6 linked regions of the Mus musculus genome follow. Each later gene encodes a partner of the first gene's protein in a complex. Links are inferred from orthologs where the notes say so. Each region holds a gene or a part of one and is shown in the gene's direction. Other genes may lie near its edges. The genes, in order: Smarcc2, Dpf3, Smarcd2, Dpf1, Actl6b and Pbrm1.

Region 1 (3,500 bases):
CTCTGTAAGCTGGAGGCTAGCCTGGTCACAAGTTCCAGGACAGCCAGGTTTCATACAGAGACCCTGTCTTCAAAAATTAATTAAGATCTGACTGGAAACGGTGGTAAACACCTTTAATCTCAGCACCCAGGAAGCAGATGCAGGTGAATCTCTGTGAGTTCAAGGCCAGCCTGGCCTACATAGTGAGTTCCAAGACAGCCAGAGCTACAGAGTGAGACTCTGTCTGGGAAAAAACAAAGCAACAGTGTTACTAGTTAAGAGCACATCATTTAACTCAGCCTGGTGGCATAACATAGGTAATAATCTCAGTGGCCTGCCTGGCTGAGGCAGGAGGATGTAAGAAGTACAGAATCAGCCTGGCCTGCAGAATGACCCCTGAGGCCAACCTGCATAACTGAAGGGGACAGTCTCAGAGTAAAAAGGAAGGAAAGCCAAGTGTGGGTCATGTCTCTAGTCCTAGCACTCAGCAGGCAGAGGGATGGTTCAGGAGTGCAGGCCAGCCTGAGCTACATAATGAATTCAAAACCAGCTCGAGCTGATGGAGTCTGTGTCTCTTTCTTTTAAAAAATACTAAATAAAAAAGTAAAGATGTAGTTATGAATATAGTTCATGTATAGGGGTGTTTGTCTGCCAGTACAAATTGCGTAGCAGGAGAGGGCATTGGATTCTGTGGGACTACAATTACAGATGGTTGTGAGCCACCATGTGGTTGCTGGGAATTGAACTCAGGATCTCTGGAAGAGCAATCGGTGCTCTTAACCTCTCAGCCTTCTCTCCAGCCTGAGGCTGTTTGAAAAAGGCAAAGCCAAAGTAAAAAGTTTAAGGAAAGAAAAAGAAAAAAGTGCTGGGGAACTGAGCTTGGTGGTGGCGCACACCTGTCACCTCAGCACTCAGGAGCAGATGCAGAGAATTAGGGATGTTCTTTGCAAGTTAGAGGCCTGGAATACATGAGACCCTGCTCCTTCGCCCCGCCCCGCCCCGCCCCGCCCCGCCCCCCTCAAAAAAACCAGAAAAACCTTGGTGCTGGGACTGTAACTCTGGTAGAACACTGACATATTCGTAAGTTAGGCCTTAGGTTCAGTTGCAAGTAGTATATCAAGGGATGATATCTAGCTACTTACCTAGCATGATCTAGCTCAAACTCAGTCCATTAAAAGATTGTATAGGGAGACAAGCAGGGAGACAAAGAGCAGTCATACAGGAGTAGCCCTCAGGATACTGAGGCCGGAGAGTCATAGGAGTGCACGCACATAGATGCTGGGCAAGGCAGTAGAATAGAAAACGAGTTTCAAAGGGTTCTGAAGAAGCAGCATATGTAAAACTGTTAGCAGCTGAGACGTGAGAGCTTGATTTGGCCAACATGTCTAATGCTTTTTCTCTTTGCAGTCAACACTAAAAAGGACTCTGAGTCAGCCCCAGTCAAAGGCGGCACCATGACTGACCTGGGTAAGCCAGGGAGCCCCAAGCAGGCAGTGCCTGAGGCATGGGGGAGCTCAGCCCACCTTCCCGTCGCCCTCTGCTCCTGTAGAGGCTCAGCCTGTCTTCTTTCCCTTGCAGATGAACAGGACGATGAAAGCATGGAGACCACCGGCAAGGTGCAGCCAGTTTAGGCAGGCTCTGTCTCTCTGTGATTAGCTTAGAGAGGCTCCACCTCTCTGGGACAGGGATCACAGTGTTCCTTTTGCCCGGGCTTTTCCCGCCATAGCTGAATTGTGCCTGCTGCTCGGACCCCAGCCCCCTAGCGTCCCAGGGCCCACAGTGCTCATCCTCATCCTTCTCCCCTGTTGGTGCTCCTGGGTGTAGGAGAAGCTGAGGGCTGCTAGGCAGGGAGGGGAATGCTGAGTGTCCAGCAGCCTCCATATTCATAGGACGAGGATGAGAACAGCACGGGCAACAAAGGCGAGCAGACGAAGAACCCGGACCTGCATGAGGACAATGTGACCGAGCAGACCCACCACATCATCATCCCCAGCTACGCCGCCTGGTTTGACTACAACAGGTACTGCCCTGCTTCTTTCCTCCTTCCTCCCCCGTGATTAACCCATAATCAATGGGTTATCTCTCTTGTTGCCCCTCTACAGCTTAGAGCCCCTTGCCAACCCCACCTTTCAAGCCTTCCGCCCTTGGGCTCCTACTCCTTCCCTGGGCCTTCTAAACCCGTTGTGATTTATCTTGCAGCGTCCATGCCATTGAACGGAGGGCTCTTCCTGAGTTCTTCAACGGCAAGAACAAGTCTAAGACTCCAGAGATGTAAGATTTCCGCTTATGATTTTCTTTTGGGGTCCTTTCTGCACTCACCCTTCCAGACTTAGCAACTTTCAACCAAGCTCTCTGTTAGACTTACAAAGACATGATAGACACCACTAGACAGCCACAGCCTAACCCTTTAAACATGTTCTTCGGAGGTTGTCTGAGGATGGTAGAGTAGAGCATACAAGTACCTGCACCGCCGTTCCCATTGCTTCCAGTTAAAAACCATGCAGAGAATTTCATTCCATAATTGCTATGTGACCTGAAATTCACATACCCCCAGTGTATGAAACAACTTTAATTAAAATGTAAATGATGAGATTAGATTGAAAAACAAAAATAAGGTGATGGTGTACACCTTGAATCCCAGCACTCGGGAGGCAAAGGCAGGCAGAGCTCTTGAGTTCAAGGCCAGTCTGGTCTACAGAGCTAGTAGTTCCAGGAGACCCAGGGCTGCAAAGAGAAATTCTGTCTTGGAACACCAAAAAGCAAACCAAACCAAAACAAAAAAACAAGATAAGATAAAAACCAAGCCTGGTTGCACATGGGGATAGTCCTAGCACTTGGGAGGCTGCTGTAAGACTCAAATTCGTGGCCGCCCTGGGCTTCCTAGCTAGACTTTGTCAAAGAGAAGAAGGAACTAAGAGGTCCGGCTCTGAGGATTATGAGATGGGAGCGTGCATTATGAAAGAGTAGCACATATGTCCAGGATTAGGGCTGGAAGGCATAGCTCCCTCCGTAGTAGAACACTTGCCTGACATGCATGAGAGTCTTTGTACCGTTTTGTGCATGCTGGAAGGCAGAGGCGGGCAGATCTCTAAGTCTCATCATTGCAGATGGAGGCCAGCCAGGGCTATATTGTGAGACCTGATCTTAAAAAAGAATAATAAGCTACAGATTTAGGGCTTCTAAGTCGGTGTTTATTGACTCTGATAACTGCATTCTTCATGTGTTGGTTAAGACACACTCTTCCAGTATCCTCCCACCTTGAGCCCTCAGCAGACTTCTTTTTCTTTTTTTTTTTTTAAGATTAATTTATTATTATATCTAAGTACACTGTAGCTGTCTTCAGACACACCAGAAGAGGGTGTGTCTCATCTCATTACGGATGGTTGTGAGCCACCATGTGGTTGCTGGAATTTGAACTCAGGACCTTCAGAAGAGCAGTCGGTGCTCTTAACCACTGAGCCATCTCTCCAGCCCCTCAGCAGACTTCTTATTCGTCTCGCTGACTCTTTGCCAATACTTGG
Region 2 (4,205 bases), on another chromosome or scaffold:
CCTACTAGGCAAACAAAGAGTTAAATATTTCCAGTCTGCACGCACAGACTCACTCAGCTTTGCTGGGCTTATCTGTAACTCTAATAGTGAATGGAGCTGGAATCTGAAAGTTCTGGACTGCTTTGTAATTGTATTTTACTTTATTCATCGAGAGTCGTAAAAGGCGAGAGCAGGTGGAATTGTGAACTGCAATTCAGCATCTCTCGGTTTCCTTTTCACTTCCCAGCCCCCAGCTATTTGACCTGATTAAACAGCCAAGGGGGCCATAGCCCGGCTTCTATAAGCTAACGATGCCTGTGCCCTCTAAGTGATTTCATGAGTTTTCGCCCACTCCGAGTCTCCCTGTGCTCCGTGGAAGTCTGAGTTCGCAGAAGTCTCTCAGTTTCTTCTGGGGTTTATCAGATTCTGAGCAGCCGCATACTGGGGAAGCCAGGAGTCACGTCTGAACATTCACTTGCAAATTCTTTTCACCTCCTATCTTAGTCCAGAAAGGTGACGCCTGAATTCTCAGAGCCGTTCCCAGAGGGGACTCAGGCAACACCTACCTCAGGCTCTAACAATTTTTGCATAGTTACTGACTTCCCTAGCTGCGTTTCCTAAAGTTGCCTCAAAATTTCCCCAACCTTCTGCCTAAAAAGCGCCAGGTCTCACTTCGCTCCCAAGCTGGCCATGTCAGATCAGTGTGAATCGTTGACAGTGGAGAACGGTGGTCGTAGGGGACCGCGCGGAGTGACCACCCGTGAATTACGTAACAAAAGCCGTGGCTGTCCGCAAGCCTGACACTGAGACATTCCAGGAGGAAGGGAGTTGCTGTCCTGGACTCTCCAGTTCTCAGAAACCGCCCGGGGAAGGTGGCTGAGATCAAGAAAACACTTCGGGAACAAGAATATTGAACAGCCGCGGAACCCAGAACATTATTAGCAAACAGTGGAACACGAGTAGTAATTTCTTGGAGGAAACTGCAGCCTTCCAACTTTTTGCACTGCAACACGGTGGTGTACAAGGAGCTCGGGGGTTAAAAACCGTGATTTACAAAGCCCAGAGCTAATGAATGGGGTTAAGTGGTTTTGTTGGCACTATGTAAATATTCTTGTCCAGGAGCGCAAACTCTGCAGTTATTTAGCAAAGTAGGGACTCCAACTAAGCGAGAATGCTCTCCCATGTTGTCTCCACGAGTTCCAATCTAAAAGGGCGCTACTAACACGGTACTGCCCCTTTAAGACCTGCTCGCTCTCGGGCTCTACAAAAGGGAGTGACCTCTGGGCTTTGACAGCTCCCCTAATAACTACCACCACGCAGGCCCCGCCCACTTGGCGACCAGCCGCGCCGATTGGCCGGTAGGCCGGTATCCCGTGCTCTGATTGGCCTGCCGCTTCCCCTGAGCGAACCTTTAGAACTCTGAGACAGACAATATTCTGTTACATTGTAGCAAAATGGCGACTGTCATTCACAACCCCCTGAAAGCGTAAGTAAGACTAAAAAATGTACATATTCCGCGTGGTTTCAATATGAAAAAAAGGCGCCTTGTGGAGCGCAGCCGGCGCCCGGCTCTCGCAGACACCTCCCGCTGCGCCCGGGCTCCTCTTTTCTTCCTGCTCTTACTTCTTCATCTTTTTTTTTCCTCCCAGCGCGCAGAAATGTCAGGAGATGCAATTAACAAAAAGAAAATTGTTACATTTGTGTTCTGCTTAATTGGCTGACCGGGACCGGGAGGGAACACAGAGCGGCGGCGCCGGCTCAGGAGCTGCGGGGGTCGTGAGCAGCCCGGGTCTTCACGGTTCTCGGAGTCCCCTGCCTCTCCCGGCGCCGCGCGGAGCTGGCTGAGGCTGGCCAGAGCGCGGGGTTGGCTGAGCCTGGCCGGAGCGCGGGGCAGAGACCGCGTCGTGCGCTCGGCTGAGCCCTGCACTCCAAGCCCGAACCTTCCCGGCCCCGCTGCTCGTCCACCCAGGCGGGCAGACGGACCGCAGCGGCTGCGGAGTTTTGCAGGGCGTTCGCTCTGCCTTCCGAGCTCTCGCAGGGAGTTTGTGTAAACCTTCCGGAGTTGGGAGGACAGCGCGCGGAGCGGCGGGTCCCGGGAGTCCTGGGGCCCAGGTGCTTGCCCCGGGCTTTTCCACTCCGGCAGCCGGGGATCAGGCAGGCGCTCCGGGCGGTCGCCGGTGTGTCTGTGTATTTGTAGGCTAACTGGCTCTAGTAAATTAACGATCCGGGTTAACTTGGGGTTGATATGGAGGCAGGGAAACTGCAGGTCTTATAAATGGTGTGCTTGCCTGCTCTGGGTGAAAAGCCGAGGCGGTGGAGGCGGCGGTGGAGGGCTCTGGCGACAGCGAGGGGCAGGTGCCTCCCGGAGACTTTGAGCGGACACAGGGGGGCGGGCTGCGCAAGGACTCGCGGGGGCCGGTTCCCGATCGGAGCTGCCTGCCCGCCGGTCTTCCTTCCTTCCTTCCTTCCTTCCTTCCTTCCTTCCTTCCTTCCTTCTTCCAGTCGGTGGACTGAATATGAAGCCGCAAGTCCGCGGGTGATCGCGGAGCCGGGGGTGGCCTCGGAAAACTAGTGTGGCTCTCAAGGGGCGCTATTGGCAGGCATGTTGGCAGAGGGTGGATCCTTGGGAATCGCGGCGCGGCGTGGGCACCCAGTGGGTGCCCGGTGTACTAGGACTTCCCCGCCCTGATGAAAGCCAGTGGGAGTCGGAGGGTGAGCGTGGGTGTTTAGTGCCAATTCTTCCCGGTGTGTGTCAGTGGTCGATCTTGGCTCTTTTAGCTGCGCGCTACAGCGTCCCTGGCTATGGGAGTCGAAAACACCGTTCGCTTTGGGGAGCAGCAGGGCGGCGGCGAGAGAGTGTGCGTGGGATTCCTAGTGCCAAGAAACCCGTAGGGAGAACCCGCTGCGTTTGCACCAGCCAACAACCAGGAATAGGGCAGGGATGTCCCAGATCTTGGAGTTTCCATGAGATATTGCTGTAAAGACGGAGGCTGAGCTTGATGCGAGTTCCTGGCTCCCGTTCTCGTTCGGAAGCTCAGCTACTTTGCACTCGCGACAGCGTCTCACCGAAGAGAGAAATTGTTTTATGGCAGAAGAAATGGGCGTAACTTCCCCGCTCCTCGCCGACTCCCGCCGCCACACCGCTGGGGCTGGGAGTTTCTCCAGAACCCACACACAGCTGATTTGCAATTTCCTCATTTCCAGCCGAAATCACGTAGCCGAGCTGATGCTGCTTGGTAAACTCAAGTCGGAGAGATCTATTTGCTATGTGTACAGGGTTCTTCATTGGCAAAGCGGCATCCTTGATGCCCGGGAGCGGGCTTACGCTCGGGCGCGCGCAGGAGCTCCACACTCCTGGGTCCCCCAGATCTTTCCACTTTTTTTTTTTTTTTCCACAGAAGAGTGCATGTATAAGAAATTGTGGGGGAGAAGGAACAGAGAAGCTAGAAGGTGGCCAATCAGTTAATAGAACTAGTTCAGATTTACACTTGTATCCCTTAATAATTGGAAATACTTGCCGTGGGATGCATTTGTAACTCCGTCTTGGCTCACGCACGCGGACGCTCACACAACACCCCTGTCTGCCTTTCCTCAGAGGAAGTCGAATGGTCACTTATAATTAGCCGCCCCCTTTTGCATCCAGTCCTCTTCCCCTGAGGGCTAAGGGTGTAAATAATAACCCCAATCGGTCAAGCTATTTGCACCCTGGACATTTTAAAAACTCCGCACGCAGGAGCACACACATCGTTACCGGGAGACTGAGGCCATCTGCTTTATTATTATTATTATAAAAACAACTTGTTTAATAAAACATCTTATACATGCCATTTGTTTCTAGAAGTTGCTGATCAGGAAACAAAACACACGTGAATAAATTATGCATGGGCCAAATTAGAACAAAGCATAGCAACCCAGCAAGCTGAAGGGATGGATGGGGGGGGGGCAGGGAGGAGGAGGAGTGAGGAGAATGGCTTGGAGAGCTTATGTGTTTATCCTTGTGTGCCCCTCCTGACAATGAACCGGAGCTCCAAACTGCATTAGCATTTTCTCCGGGTGCAAGCAGTCTTTCTCGTCTTAAAAAGGCAACATCACGGACGCCCCCTACAGAAGAAACTGGTCACACAAAGATTTCCTCTTGGGCCTGGGGATAAGCAGCAGTAGTTACGGTGTTGGGAAGAAGCCAGCTCGGGTTTCTTTCATGCCACCCTGTGTAGGGCTATGCCTTA
Region 3 (4,152 bases), on another chromosome or scaffold:
GCCTGGTCTACAGACCTAGTTCCAGGACATCCAGGGCTGCACAAAGAAATCCTATCTTGAAAAACCAAAAAAGAAATACAGAATCTTGTACCCTGCCCCCATTTCATTGAACCATAAACCACATTTTAACAAAAAGCTCGGCTTTCTTCTGATATAGGGTCTCCTGTAGAATCAACTGGTGATGCAGCTGAGAACCATCCTGAACTTCTGGCCCACCTGCCTCCTCCTGTGTGCTGGGATTTTGAGGATGCACCACCATGTAGTTGATGCAGTCTGGGGTTCAAGCCCAGGGCTTTGTGCACGCTATAACCTGAGTTACACCCCCAACCTGATTCTGAGGATTTTCAGTGCCTAGTTAAGTAGCACTATTCTATACCGTGGGTAGGAGATACCACATTGACAGAGGGTAGGTCTATAACATAGCCGAAGCCAGTGGTTTCTGAAAAGGTTCTCAACTTTTCTTTTCTTTTTTGGTTTTTCGAGACGGGGTTTCTCTGTGTAGTCCTGACTGTCCTAAAACTCACTTTGTAGACCAGGCTGGCCTTGAACTCAGAAATCCACCTGCCTCCGCCTCCCAAGTGCTGGGATTAAAGGCGTTTGCCACCACGCCCGGCTGATTCTCAACTTTTCAAAACTAAGTCCTATACAAACTGGATAAAACTTATTTCAGTACCTGGAGTTCTCTCAGCATGCAAAATCCCTTCACCTAAAAACATTTTCTGCGAATTACCAGGCTTCCTTAAAGAAAGGCACGGGCAAGTTAGTGCAGTTAAGTACTCGGAGTTGGGCCAAGCCAAGCTTTCACTCAGCTGGGTCACGTCTGGGGCCGCCCATGTCCTTGGAAGCGCGGAGCAACCAATACAGGCTTCTGGGGGTAGATGGGTGGGTGGGTGTGGGGTGCCTTATGCCACCGGCCCCGAGATGGGCTCTTAAAAAGTGGTTGGCGGCTTTCCCGCCGCGGATCGCTTATTTTTAAGGCTTGAAGACGCAGAATTGACGGAACTGTTTTGGATGGGCCATATCGGGGATCTCGCCGAGGCAGCAGCACTACGGAGCAAACAGCAAACACCTAACAGTTCGGACGGCCCTACGCGACCTTCGAACTCTGACCCCACGCCTTTCTCCTCCGCGCTTCCGCGTGCAGCTTCCGCTCCCGCTCCTCCGGGAAAAGGCCGCCTCCCCCAAGGGCGGGGCTCTAAGGCCGTCAGTTATGGGAGGTGCTGGTTTGAGGCGGGTCTCGCGAGGGCGGGATTTAAAGAGGCATTCTCGATTGGGTTGCCGGGCAGGGGCGGGGCCTGCAGGGTCTAGGTTGGGCGGGGCTGGGAGTTCGTAACCGCCTCTGGGTAACTGGACTCCGGCGATCAAACCTCCGGAGGCCGGGAGAGGCCTGCGGGCTCGCGGCACATCCCGGATCTGGAGTATCCCTGGCAGGAGCGGAGTCAGAGGGGCCGCGGGATCCTAAAGCCGGGCTGCAAAGAACTTGCGAACTTGGAGTAGAAGATCCCGGAACCCGGTAGTAAAATCGGGAAGTCCCGGATCGCGGAACGTAGCTCGCGGAGCGGACTCAACACGGAGACCGGAGGCCGGATCGCTGCACCGCGGGACGGGACAGAGTGATGTCCGGCCGTGGCGCGGGCGGGTTCCCGCTGCCTCCGCTGAGCCCCGGCGGCGGCGCCGTTGCCGCGGCCCTTGGTGCGCCGCCTCCGCCTGCGGGACCCGGAATGCTGCCCAGCCCGGCGCTCAGGGGCCCGGGGCCTTCTGGAGGCATGGGGGTACCGGGGGCCGCCGCCTTCCGCCCCATGGGCCCCGCTGGCCCCGCGGCGCAGTACCAGGTGAGGAGGGCAGGCGAGCGGCGCCGCGAGGGCGCTGTGTCGGTCTCCCTGGGGCCTCAGGTGAGGACAGGCGGCCCAGGGGACACTGCAGGAGGAACTGTCGAGGGCTGGTGGCGGGCAGGCCAGAGTCCCTTGGTTAGTGGCTCGGGGTTGGAGGCAGTGTTGGGGAAAGGGTGAAAGCCCTCTGCGGTGGAGGGCTTGAGCAGTTAGAGGAGTCCCGGGGCTTCTTGGCTCCGAGTAACTTAGAGATGGAGGCTTCGTGAGATCTAGAGAATTGTGGGCAATCAGGTTGAAAGTGTAAGACAGGTCCCGGAGTGGAGGTGAGGGAGTGACCCGGGATGTGGTGAGGAAAATTTGGAAGAGGGTCGTTAGTGAGAAAACAGGGTTACTCTTTCTTTGGCCTCGGTCCCACTGCATCTCTGCCTTGGCTTTCTTTCTTTCTTTTTTTTTTTTTTTTTCTTCCTAGTTGGGAACTGGCAGAGCGTTAGTATGTCTGAGATGGCTCCCAGCTGCTCAAGTTGAGGAGGAAGGAAGCCAGGCTTCCTACGAAATGGGAGACTAAAGAGATTGGGCCCAGATAACTCCAGGATAGATTAGAAATAGCTGTGTCCAGGTCTGAAGAAGGCCCGATCCCATTAACAGACCATTCAAGATATCCTCTGTACGGGGCTTTCCTTCTTGATGCCAGTGTCCAGTAAAGTTTGGAGGAGCAGGGAGGCTTTGTGGAGTCCTGCTGGTCTTGGGCTGCACAGGGTACTGCCCTGACCCTTCTGTCTTGGCAGAGAGCTGTCTCAGGTTGCAGCATCAAAGGCCATTGACAAGCAGAGACAGGACCCGTGGTCAGTGCATTGGGAACTCAGCCTGATTCTGCATGTGGCGCTCCTCATTCCCCAGAGCTCTGGTTCAAGTGGCTCCAGAATGTTTGGGAATTTTGTTTTGCTTTTGCATTTTGGTGCTGAGCATGGAATCCAGGCAGGGCTTTGCACGTGGCAGACGATTGCTGTATCAGGGAGCTGCACCTCCTTTCCTGGGGATTGTGCCCATCCTTCTCCCACATCCTTGTCACTTTTGTTACTTGCTTTTTGATACAGGGTCTCATATAGTCCAGGCTGGCTGTGTAGCCAAAGCCCACCTTGAACTCTTTTCTCTCAAGTGTCTGGCATTACAGTCACACACTATCACGCCCAACCTCTCTTTCCTTATCCCTCAGGTTCCTGACAAGGCCATATGTCTCTCAACCTATGTGCCAGAGAGGTGAGAGGTGTGCACTGTAGCTTGCTCTGTCCCCTGCTGGTGTCTCTAGGTAGAAGTCTCAGAAATAGATCTTCATGATGTATGCATATTCCACCCAGGAATCAGATTTCTTTTTTTTTTTTTAAAGATTCATTTATTTATTATATGTAAGCACACTGTGGCTGTCTTCAGACACACCAGAAGAGGGCATCGGATTTCGTTACAGATGGTTGTGAGCCACCATGTGGTTGCTGGGATTTGAACTCGGGACCTTTGGAAGAGCAGTCGGCGCTCTTAATCACTGAGCCATCTCTCCAGCCCAGGAATCAGATACCCAGGAGATACCTAACTGGGGGTCGGAGTGGGGATAAGTGACCCCCTTCATTTCAACTCCTATCTAAAAAGAAAATGACGAGTTTGGGTATAAACAGAGATAGACGTGGTTCCAAGGATACTAGCGGGGTTTATCTTTCCCATGTGGCTTTCTTTGGAGATTCATGGGCCTAGTATATCACTGATGAGTCTCTGCGTCAGCCCTTGGCTCTGCTTGTTTAGAGCTGGTCTGGAAGCTTCCTACAGGCACTGGGGATGTCTGTTTGGTTGGTTGGTTTTCCAAGTCTCTCTATATAGTCCTGGCTGTCCTGTAACTCACTATGTAGACCCATTTCCTTGGAAAGCAGCTGATAGAGAACATGCCATTGGGAAAGCCCCTGTTGAAGACTGGAAGATGGATTCCTGCATATTTTGTAGAGTAGCCTTGGGTCTATGCTGAGGCCAGGCTGGCCAGCCAAATGGCTGCGGCTGCTAGTTGTGAGAAAGGAGATAGCCTTGAATCTGGGCATCCCATACCAACTATGTTTCCTCTCCCCCTCCTCCTCCTCCTCCTCTTCCTCCTCCTCCTCCTCCTCTTCTTCTTCCTCTTCCTCCTCCAGGGAAAGGCAGGGGAAAGGAGGGAAGGAGAACCCAGTTAGCATTGGTTGAGTTTGAAGGAGATCCCGCTTGCTTCTTCCCATGTCCAACTTCCAGCAAGTCTTGGGATCTGAGGCCAGAGGGGCTCCTGGTTAGAGTTCTTGGGGTGAGCAGACTT
Region 4 (3,500 bases), on another chromosome or scaffold:
CCTAAGGGTTGCCAGTGTATTGGAGTCTGGTTCTGTCTTCTTTATCTAGTAGAGCTGAGGGTGTGGCTGTGCCTTCCCAGTGTATGGATATTCTTTCCAGGGCTTGAGTCGAATCCTTCTGTCCATTGTTGGCTGTGTGTGGGACAGTGTGGGAGAGCCTGTCCCTGTCGAAAGGACCATGCCCCCACCCCCACCCCCTGCAACCCGGGCACTTTGGCCACAGCCTCTTCAACTGATACCACTTTCCCTGTGGCCCGTCCCCAGATTGTGAGGCACCTCTGAAGAAGGAGGGTGGCCTCCCGGAAGGGCCAGTCCTCGAGGCTCTGCTGTGTGCTGAGACTGGAGAGAAGAAAGTGGAGCTGAAGGAGGAGGAGACCATCATGGACTGTCAGGTAAGGAGCCCCTCCCCGGCTGCAGATGCTCTCACCACTATGCCTTCCTGCTCTGAGATGCCCGGCTCCTCAGGGCCTCTGGGTACCCTATGGCCCCGATCTCCCAGAACACCTCTGCTTGTAGAAGGGTCCCTGACCTGCTCCCCCACCCTACCTGCAGCACATCAGTGCCCCCACCTTCTTGACCCCCCAATCTCCCTTCTACTGGGCCCAGAAACAGCAGTTGCTGGAGTTTCCGCATGATCTCGAGGTAGAAGACTTGGAGGAAGACATTCCCAGGAGGAAGAACAGGGCAAGAGGAAAGGTACCTTCCAGCAGCTTCCCTCCCGCCTCCTCCCCAGAGCCACGTAAAGGAGTAGAGGGCTTTGCACCCATTTTTATGGGTGAGGAAATGGAAACTCAGTGGATTATAAACTTTTTCGAAAATGGAGCTTGTGGATCAGAACTGTCTTGCAGAGCTGGGTGTGGTAGCCCACACTTGTAATCCCAGCACCTGGGAGGCTGAGGCAGGAGAATTGCTACAAGTTTGAGACAAGTGAATTCCAGGCTATTCTGAACTAAATAAAGAGATCGTGTGCAAAAAGAGATTAAAAAAAAAAAATCCTAAACCAAACCAGCTACCCAGACAACAACATCAGCAACACACACAAACACACACACGCACCATGCACACACATACAAACACACTCACATAAACACACACACTTACAAATACACACACATACAAACATGTACACACACATACAAATACATGTGTACAAATATACACTCCACATGTACACATAAACACACATATACATGCACACACACACACACACACACACACACACACACTCACAACCTCTAATAAGAACAATAAAAAGGTGTTGGAACACAGATTTACTCCCAGCACTGGAGAGGCAGAGGCAAGAGGATCTCTGAGTTCAAGGCCAGCCTGATCTATAGAGTGAGTTCGCAGGTAGCTAGGACTGTGTGGAGAGACCCTGTCTCAAAACAACAACAAGAAGAATTATCTTCATAGGTGTACCGAGAGAAATTCAAAGGCTCACCACTAGAAACTGTGCCCAGTTTTAGTGGGGAAGATTTCATTATCGTTGTGTGGTTCTGGCACCCAGAATCTCACACTCACATGACACCTGCTCTGTCACTGAGCCACGCCCCCAGTGCTGAAAAGAAAAACTTTAATTTTTTTCTTCAGTTTGACTTTCAAGTCTAAACGAAGAAGCCCACTAAGGCATGGTAGCACATATCCCATAATTCAGAAGCAGGAGGGCCACTGCATGTTTAAGGCCAGCCTGATCTACAGAGTGAATTCCAGGTCAGGCAGGGCTACATAATGAGACCCTGTCTCAAGCAACAACAGCAACAACGACGACAAACTCAAAAACCCCAAGAATGATGAGCCTTTCTTTCCCTGGCTTTCCAGCTCCTTACTCCTAACCCTCCTCCCTACAGGCATATGGCATTGGAGGTCTCCGCAAACGCCAGGACACCGCATCCCTGGAGGACCGAGACAAGCCGTACGTCTGTGATAGTGAGTTCTGCAGAGGGGAAAGAGAGATGGGGGTTGGGGGGGGGGCAGTGACCTCTCCCTTATGGCCCTCAGCAGAGCAGGTGGTGTGAACCTGGAGGCCAGGGTGGAGGAGGTGGCCCCGGAGTCTGACAATCACCCACTCACTTCCCCTCCAGTCTGTGGGAAGAGATATAAGAACCGGCCAGGACTCAGCTACCATTACACCCACACCCACCTGGCTGAGGAGGAGGGGGAGGAGCACACTGAACGCCACGCCCTGCCTTTCCACCGGAAAAACAACCATAAACGTGAGTTGGAGGGTCAAGGCTGGTGGGTGAGGTGCCAGGGGTGGGGCGGGAGCAATGGAGCCTGGAAATGTCTGCGGACGGGGAGGTGGGGGCACATTTAGACATTTCTGGAAAATCTTCAGCTTAACGGTTCCCTCCTCCACCAACCATAGGGATGCTGGCTCTGGGGTTGTCATGACAACCAACTCTCTCTCTCTCTCTCTCTCTCTCTCTCTCTCTCTCTCTCTCTCTCTCTCCCTCTCCCTCCCCCTCCCTCATTCTCTCTCTCTCTCTCTCTCTCTCTCTCTCTCTCTCTCTCTCTCTCCCTCATTCCCTGCCCGGGCATAATATTTCTGGGTCTGATTTATTGTTTCAATTAGAGCTCTGAGGGGGGTGGTAGATGACTTCCCCACCCCCACCCCAGACCTCCCTCGTCTCCTTCTCTACTATGTTAGGATCCAGGGCAAGGTCGGTGGCCCCCAGGGTCCTTGACACCCACCCATGGCTGTTCCATGCCATGATGACAGCTGAGCCACGGAGGAAGTGGACTATCTCTCACCTGTCCCTCAAAGAGAGCCTCTCCAAAAACCTCAGGCCTGGCCCAGAGCCCTCTGTGCTGTAAAAATGCCCTGATTAGGCTTTGCAGAACTGTCTGCTAATCGTTGGCCTAGGCAAACTTACTTAGGGGTGCCTAAGGGGGTGCCCCCTACATGATGGGGGCAGCCATGGGCTCTTGCTAAGGTTATACCTATCTCTCAGACTTTTACCCAAATAGAACGTATGGTTACCCCAAGAGTTAGGGTTCTGGTGAGAATGGCTTGCCCCTCCCCCAGCTTCCTTGCTACTTCCCAGTGCCTGGGCCAAGGGTCCCGCCCCTGGGGCTGAGGCTGGGGACAGATGGGACCTTGCCTATGGTAAGAGCCCCTTTCTGTCCCCCCACCCCCAGAGTTTTACAAAGAATTGGCCTGGGTCCCCGAGGCACAGAGGAAACACACAGGTAGGGGCACCTCCCTCCTCCCCGACTTCTGCAGCAGTCTTTGACTGGCACGCCTCACCTGTCCTGTGCCCACCGCTGCCTGCTGTCTTTCAGCCAAGAAAGCACCAGATGGCACTGTCATCCCCAATGGCTACTGTGACTTTTGCCTGGGGGGCTCCAAGAAGACTGGGTGTCCCGAGGACCTCATCTCCTGTGCGGACTGTGGGCGATCAGGTGACACTCACCACATATTTTCTGGAAGATGGCGGGGAGAGGGCATCTCAGAATCTGGATTTAGGGAATGGGAGGCAAGGGGAGCGAGGGCTGTACCC
Region 5 (3,267 bases), on another chromosome or scaffold:
ATCCCAATTCAGCGAGTCCACAGGACACAGGACCACATGACCCTGGAACCCCTGCACTCAAAGGGATTAAGGAGATGAAATACACATTCAAGGCCTGGGCTTAAATTGAACATACACACACACACACACACACACACATACACACACACACACACACACACACATATATATATACCCACATATATATACATATATATGTGCATGTGTGTATGTGTATGTATGTATGTATGTATGTATGTATGTATATATACACACATACCTATATATATATACATACATACATATACATACATATATACATATAATGAATTATATATAATAAATATTATAGATAGCAAATATTATATCTAATGAGCATATATAATGAACATTACATATATTAAAAGTTGGGGGACTGGAGCAAAAGCCCAGCAGTTAAGAGTGCTTGCTGCTCTTGTATAGGATTGGGTTTGATTCCCAGCACCCACCCAGGACAGCTCAGCAATGAAATCAACGACCACACAAAGACGAGGACCAGAGTGTGGATCCGTAGGCATCCACATACCTGCCCAGTGGGCATGACCACCTACTTGCAAATGCAGACTCAGGAGGCCAGCAAGACCAACTGTATTAGAGAGCTCTGCATTTAATTGAGAGCACTTTCTTGAATGAATAGGTTGAAAGAGTGATCAGGAATGAGTCTTGATATCAACCTTGGGCCTCTGCATACATGCACACACACACACACACACTCATACACAAACCCTCACACATACACAAACACACACACACAGACAAGCCCACACATATGCAAAAAGGAAAAAAAAAAAACAAACCTCCAAAGGTTCTATTTGCAGACTGGGATGACTCTTACCCTGAAAGAACTGAGAAGGACTAAGGCCTGACCCAGGTCCCAGCTCCCTCACTGGCTACTGCTGATTCTTTGACTGACCCATCCCACAACAGCTTTGCAAATGGACGCTCCACAGGCCTGGTGCTGGACAGTGGGGCCACCCACACTACAGCCATCCCAGTCCATGATGGCTATGTCCTACAGCAAGGTAGGGCCTTATCAGGGGTCTGGGGTGCTTTGGGGAGCCCTGGTTCTGAGACTGCTTCTTCTTCCAGGCATCGTCAAGTCCCCCCTGGCAGGGGACTTCATCTCCATGCAGTGCCGGGAGCTCTTCCAGGAAATGGCTATTGATATCATTCCTCCTTACATGATTGCAGCCAAGGTAGGCCCTGTGCTGTGCCCAGATATGCCATCCATAGTTCTGGCATTTGCTTTATATCCATCAGTCCCCAAGCCCAGGAGATAATGCAGCAAATCTCCCAAAGGCTCAGGGATCCAGGTCCTCACTATCCAGACATGGAAACAGGCTTCATGTCATGACTGGACCAGATGTGTGAGGACCAGTTATGGAGAGGCACGTTTGTAATCCTAGCACTTGAGAGGCGGGGGCAGGAGGGTCGGGAGTTCAAGGTCAGCCTTGGGAACAGTGAGCTGGAGGCCAGCCTGAGCTACACAAGCCATTCTGTCTCAAAAGAAAAAGTAAACAACAAAAACCCCCAAGGACTAGGGGTGTGTTTCAGTTAACAAGCTCTTGGCATGCAAGGAACCTTGAGTTGGATCCCCAGCACCATATAAACCTTGGTTGTGTGAAGGCCTGGATGACATAAATCCCATCTCAAACCAAACCAAACCAAACCAAAACCAAAAGACGAACATGAAGAGCCATGAAACCCAGAGTATCATATGAAAGCTTCCCAGATATGAGAGAGAGAGAGAGAGAAAGAGAGAGAGCGCTAAATTGAACTAGCAATCCTCCAGCTTTTACTTCGCTTTGCTGGAGAACACCACACCAGGTTTCATCGGACGGGGATGGAACCCAGGGCTTCCTGAATGCTAAGCAAGTACTCTACCCACTTCTGGCTCAGTTCCTTCTGATCACATTTGCAGTGTAGGTTTCATGTATGGGACAGCCTGTCATTGTCTTCACTTCCCTGTCAGGGAAGGCTGACAAGCCACTCTATCTCCTGGGAGACAGAGCAGAATCTCAGGGCTGGTCAGCTGCAGAGCTGTCTGAGCTCCAGGGAGGCGAGCGTGTGCCAATGGGCAGGGCAAGCACCAACTGGGAAGGACTCTCAAAGGCTGTGTCCTCACAGGAGCCTGTACGGGAGGGAGCCCCCCCAAACTGGAAGAAGAAGGAGAAGCTACCCCAAGTCTCCAAGTCCTGGCATAACTACATGTGTAACGTGAGGCTGTAGCTGAAAACAGTTTCCCTACTCTCTTCCCACCCCTGTCAGTCCCTGGCACCTTGCTATAACCAGGGGAGGGGAGGGGATGGCTGTGGATGGGTTGGGGTTGGGGTTGGGGTTGGGGTTGGGGGTGGGGGTGGGGCTCTCGATAGAGACAGAGGGCAGCCAGACCTCACCCCTCCCTGCTTCTCAGGAGGTGATCCAAGACTTCCAGGCCTCCGTACTGCAGGTGTCTGATTCCCCTTACGATGAACAGTGAGTTGGGCTGAGCACCGCATGGTGGTAAGGAGGGTAGGATTGATTGACGCTGGGAATGCTATGGCTCCTGTAATGTCAATACTCAGGAAGGCTGAGGCAGAAAGATCGAGAGAGTCTCAGGTCAGTGTGGCCTACATAGCAGAACCCTCTCTCAAAAAGTGTGTGTGTGTGTGTGTGTGTGTGTGTGTGTGTGTGTGTGTGTGTAAAGGCACTGGGACTATAGCTCGGTTTGCCTGTATGTATAAAGTTCAGTCTCACTTAGGGGCCACGGTTGTACAAGCCTGAAAGCCAGTGCTTAGGAGTTGGAGACAAGGAGTCCAGGAGTTCAAGGCCAGCTTCTGCTACTTATTGAGTTGGAGGCATGATTGGGCTACATGAGAACCCCATTTCAAAAAACAAAGATGGGCACAGAACTGGGGTTCATGGGAACCCCTAGAGCACCCCACCTGGCACCACATCACACAGAGTCTTGCTCCTTTCTTGGGCAGGGTAGCTGCACAAATGCCCACTGTGCATTATGAAATGCCCAATGGCTACAACACAGACTACGGCGCTGAGCGACTTCGAATCCCTGAGGGCCTGTTTGATCCCTCTAATGTCAAGGTTTGGCTGGATGCTGAGGACTAGTTGGGGTTGGGGTTAGGGTTGCCTAAAGTCTTGGATCCAGAGGTGTAGTGAAGGAGTCTGGAAAAGATGATAGGAGTCTAGGGGAGAGGGAGGGAGAGGCCCCAAGTCCATATCACCTCTGTCCACAGGGCCTGTCCGGGAATA
Region 6 (3,500 bases), on another chromosome or scaffold:
ATGTGTGTACCACCATGCCCAGTTCCACGTGGTGCTGGGATTGAACCTGGGGCCTTCCAATCTGCTAGGCAACCACTCTTCCAACTTAGCTATTGCTAGCCCTTGTTTGCATTTGAAGATAAAGAAACTGATCTGAGTTGTAGTTTGGCTAGCATCATACAGATAACTAGAGTGGAAGGTCTGACTCCTAAGTGTGGATCGATTATTTCACATTACAAGTTAAAAGGTATATACTTCGGATAAGAAAATATTTTTTAAAATCCCTCTCTTGTATCTTTTATCTTTTGAAAGTGTATTAAAGATTAAGGGGTCTGGGTTGTTGTGTCATCTAAAATTACAATATATTCAAAACTAATAATTTACATTTTTTTGTCATTTGTTTTCCAGTGCGTTATAAAAAGCAGTTATTTTGAATTGCCAAGATAATTGAAGACTTTTTAAAGCCCTGTTAAAACTTAAATGCTGTGTCTTTCCAGTGCAGATAGAGCTTTTGGAAAGAAATGTTTTTCTCTGATGCTTGGGTGGAGGGGAGGAAGAATTTTGTAGAGTTTGCTCTCATGAGCCGTTCTTGGTTTGTTCCAGCTTGCCAACACTTGGTGTCACATGTGAGCCTCCCACATGTGTGCACTCTCCATTCCAGCTCTGTGATTGAACTCTGCTCTTATTGACTAGGGGGCACTTGGGCAGGCATGCTTCATTCCTGGAGTTGACAGTCATTTCATGTGAGTAAAGGTGAACTCAGTGAGACATTTCTAAGCATGTGGAAGCATTGGGTTGTTAAAGGAAAGAAATGTCAGGTGCACCTGAGAGCTGACTGATGTGCCTGTATCTCTCACTTTAGCAATTCTATTTGAATGTATGTTTTCTGTCTGTTTGTAACTCATTTATCCCCCTATTTCCCCTTTCTCTGCCTTGTTCTTCTCTTTCAGTTCTGAATAGACTAACTGAATAAGCCCTCCCTTCTCTCACGGGCTTCAGTTGGCCTGCAGACATAATGAGGAGATTGGCTTTTCGAGGCGCTGGTTGTGCTCTGGTAAAGCTGGTAAATTACTGATCATCTTCACCCTTTCCTGTTTCTGTCGTTCTTTACCTTTTCCCTTCAGCATTCTGAATTTTATAGTATTTCTTCCCATCTGAGTCCCTCCTGTGTTTATCAGAGTGTTTCCAAGGATTAGTCCTTAACTTCATTAAATTGTGGCATTGTGGCCAGTTAGCAGTCTTTTATAACAACAACAGTACCTAAGTGTTCTTGACTTAAGGTTTTAGAAGCTGTTAACCACTTTTAGTCAATTTCAAACTAATATACTTGGTAATAAACCAAAGCCTAGAGGAAGGAACATGATCACTGTGGGTTCTGTTTTAAACAGTGTGTGGACTTTATAGTTCAAAGCAAGAGACAGAAGACTCCTCTTGTTTCTTAGTTGCTCAACGGATTTTTTTGTTTGTTTGTTTTGTTCTTGCTTTCTATTTCCTGGAGATCCCCAGTTTTCTCTCTGTAATACTGGCAGCCACTGGTCTACTGTTGTTTATTTAGTGAAACTAATAAAGTCTATTGTTACTTTTAGCTTTAGGAAAGTCCTTTGAAATTACAATGCACTATTTGATACTACTGTTAAACTATATAAGCATTGTAGGACTTCCTTGGGTTTATACCCTTTAACTGTAGTAATTTATTTCTGTGGTTGCATTTCTTATAGCCAAATGCGTATATTGTAAAGTTAAAAAGTAGTTTATTTTTATTTTTTTATTTGAGGTAGTATGTAGCCCTGGCTGACCTAGATGTCAGTATGTACACCATTCTGGCCTTGAGCACACAGAGATTCCCCCTGCCTCTGCCTTTCTTGTCAAGTGCTGGGGTTAAAGGCTTGCACCACTGCACCTATCAAAGAATAGTGTCTTATAGGATTAGGAAGGTATCTCAGTGGTTAAAGTTCTTGTGCAAAAATGAGGCTCTGACTTTGGATCCCCAGCACCCACATAAAAGCCATGTGTGGGTGGTAGGGTCTGTAGCCCCTCACTGGAGGAACAGATAAGTAGGTCTCAGGCACTGACTGACTAGATATTCTCCAGGGTTAGGGGAAAGTGCTAAATGGAGACATCCAACATCAACTTATGTCCTGCACACACAGCGACAGACAGGCACACACACAGAGTTCCTTTTGTATTAATGATAGGGCTCAGTGTTGGAGCACTTTCCTATCATGTGAAAGGTACTACATTCAGCCCCTAGTACTGCAAATAACAATAAAAATGCTGAAGTCAGCAGACAAACAAAAATATCAGTCAAGCTAACAACAAGTGTTTGTGTTTCTAAATGTCTACACATTCGTTACCCAAGAACCCATGTGTATAGCATGTTCTTCCAGATCGTCTAATTCTAATAAGACTTAAAGCTATTTTCCAAAATCTGTGAGTATAGTGGACATCTCTTACTGAAAGGAAAGACTTAATAGAAGAGTTCAGTGTACAAGTTGCTATTTCTTCCCAGATAAAACAAAACTTACATTGTTTCACAGAGGTATTTTTATGAATTCTGCTTTAAGAGGATAATTCATTTTCAAGGTGTTAATTTTAGGGTACTTCTCCAGTGCTAAGAAGTTTACTGCTCCATCCCCTTTGCTTCAGATACTGCTTCTTAGTTTCATTTTCTACACTGTGGCCCACTGAGGTATTAGTTACATTCAGGAAAGCAGCTGAAGTTACTAACCCTTGGTAATGACCTTAGAGTCCCCATGTGTACCTGGGCCTCAGGGTCTTAGGGACCAGTGCTTCCAGTGCACTATTGAAGACTAGAGGACTAGAAGGATGGCTCAGTGTTTAAGTGCTGGCTGCTCTTCCAGAGAACCTGGGGCTATTGCCCAGCACCTACTTGGCAGCCTACAACCATTTGTATCTCCAGTTGCAGGAGATCTGATACATTCTTCTGATCTTCTCTAGCATCAGGCACACATGTGGTGCACAGATACTTACACAGGCAAAACACCTGTACACATAAAAAATAATACTTTTTTTAAAAAATGACTATACATGAATTAGGAAGCCACATTCCAAGATAAATCTGGAGCAAGAAATGGCTAATTTAGAATTATTGACATACAAATGTGTATACTTCTGCCAAATTTATCCTATCAGAGTTTGATGGTACAGCATTCTGATAAGTAAAAGGCTAAAAAATCATTGAGGTCTAGCACTTAAATTAACAAAAGAACTTAAAGCTAGTTCAATTCCTCTGGGGGGAAAAAAAAAAAACTCTATCAGCTATCTTAAATGAATGAGAAGTTTGGTGATATGTGCCCTGCTAAGAGTTTGTTGACATTGTTAAAGATTAAATATAAGAACTTGGCTAATTATTTCTTACAGAAGAAGTTGGATTCCATGGGTTCCAAGAGAAGAAGAGCCACCTCTCCTTCCAGCAGTGTCAGTGGAGACTTTGATGACGGGCACCATTCTGTGCCTACACCAGGCCCAAGCAGGAAAAGGAGAAGACTGTCCAATCTTCC

Evidence for each region.
Region 2: Smarcc2 (region 1) and Dpf3 share a complex: the UniProt entries of both Homo sapiens proteins name them as parts of the BAF complex. The link is inferred for Mus musculus from reciprocal best matches to the Homo sapiens genes SMARCC2 and DPF3.
Region 3: Smarcc2 (region 1) and Smarcd2 share a complex: the UniProt entries of both Homo sapiens proteins name them as parts of the BAF complex. The link is inferred for Mus musculus from reciprocal best matches to the Homo sapiens genes SMARCC2 and SMARCD2.
Region 4: Smarcc2 (region 1) and Dpf1 share a complex: the UniProt entries of both Homo sapiens proteins name them as parts of the neuron-specific chromatin remodeling complex. The link is inferred for Mus musculus from reciprocal best matches to the Homo sapiens genes SMARCC2 and DPF1.
Region 5: Smarcc2 (region 1) and Actl6b share a complex: the UniProt entries of both Homo sapiens proteins name them as parts of the BAF complex. The link is inferred for Mus musculus from reciprocal best matches to the Homo sapiens genes SMARCC2 and ACTL6B.
Region 6: Smarcc2 (region 1) and Pbrm1 share a complex: the UniProt entries of both Homo sapiens proteins name them as parts of the SWI/SNF-B (PBAF) chromatin remodeling complex. The link is inferred for Mus musculus from reciprocal best matches to the Homo sapiens genes SMARCC2 and PBRM1.

The regions. Positions count from the first base shown.
Region 1 is NC_000076.6:128,472,815-128,476,314, forward strand, and holds part of Smarcc2 (SWI/SNF complex subunit SMARCC2), read left to right. Parts: intron 1-1,386; coding exon 1,387-1,446; intron 1,447-1,557; coding exon 1,558-1,595; intron 1,596-1,868; coding exon 1,869-1,999; intron 2,000-2,178; coding exon 2,179-2,250; intron 2,251-3,500. UniProt on the Homo sapiens protein: Involved in transcriptional activation and repression of select genes by chromatin remodeling (alteration of DNA-nucleosome topology).
Region 2 is NC_000078.6:83,484,937-83,489,141, reverse strand, and holds the start of Dpf3 (zinc finger protein DPF3), read left to right. Parts: upstream 1-1,405; 5' UTR 1,406-1,433; coding exon 1,434-1,465; intron 1,466-4,205. UniProt on the Homo sapiens protein: Belongs to the neuron-specific chromatin remodeling complex (nBAF complex).
Region 3 is NC_000077.6:106,270,173-106,274,324, reverse strand, and holds the start of Smarcd2 (SWI/SNF-related matrix-associated actin-dependent regulator of chromatin subfamily D member 2), read left to right. Parts: upstream 1-1,352; 5' UTR 1,353-1,616; coding exon 1,617-1,832; coding exon of another isoform or gene 1,833-1,892; intron 1,893-4,152. Other genes in the region: Tcam1 (testicular cell adhesion molecule 1), read right to left, coding at 674-691. UniProt on the Homo sapiens protein: Involved in transcriptional activation and repression of select genes by chromatin remodeling (alteration of DNA-nucleosome topology).
Region 4 is NC_000073.6:29,311,001-29,314,500, forward strand, and holds part of Dpf1 (zinc finger protein neuro-d4), read left to right. Parts: intron 1-264; coding exon 265-392; intron 393-606; coding exon 607-696; intron 697-1,847; coding exon 1,848-1,926; intron 1,927-2,081; coding exon 2,082-2,213; intron 2,214-3,138; coding exon 3,139-3,189; intron 3,190-3,282; coding exon 3,283-3,402; intron 3,403-3,500. UniProt on the Homo sapiens protein: May have an important role in developing neurons by participating in regulation of cell survival, possibly as a neurospecific transcription factor. Belongs to the neuron-specific chromatin remodeling complex (nBAF complex).
Region 5 is NC_000071.6:137,563,546-137,566,812, forward strand, and holds part of Actl6b (actin-like protein 6B), read left to right. Parts: intron 1-945; coding exon 946-1,040; intron 1,041-1,107; coding exon 1,108-1,214; intron 1,215-2,145; coding exon 2,146-2,235; intron 2,236-2,431; coding exon 2,432-2,493; intron 2,494-2,984; coding exon 2,985-3,099; intron 3,100-3,251; coding exon 3,252-3,267. UniProt on the Homo sapiens protein: Involved in transcriptional activation and repression of select genes by chromatin remodeling (alteration of DNA-nucleosome topology).
Region 6 is NC_000080.6:31,022,138-31,025,637, forward strand, and holds part of Pbrm1 (protein polybromo-1), read left to right. Parts: intron 1-582; 5' UTR 583-722; intron 723-929; exon of another isoform or gene 930-994; coding exon of another isoform or gene 995-1,042; intron 1,043-3,360; coding exon of another isoform or gene 3,361-3,375; coding exon 3,376-3,500. UniProt on the Homo sapiens protein: Involved in transcriptional activation and repression of select genes by chromatin remodeling (alteration of DNA-nucleosome topology). Required for the stability of the SWI/SNF chromatin remodeling complex SWI/SNF-B (PBAF).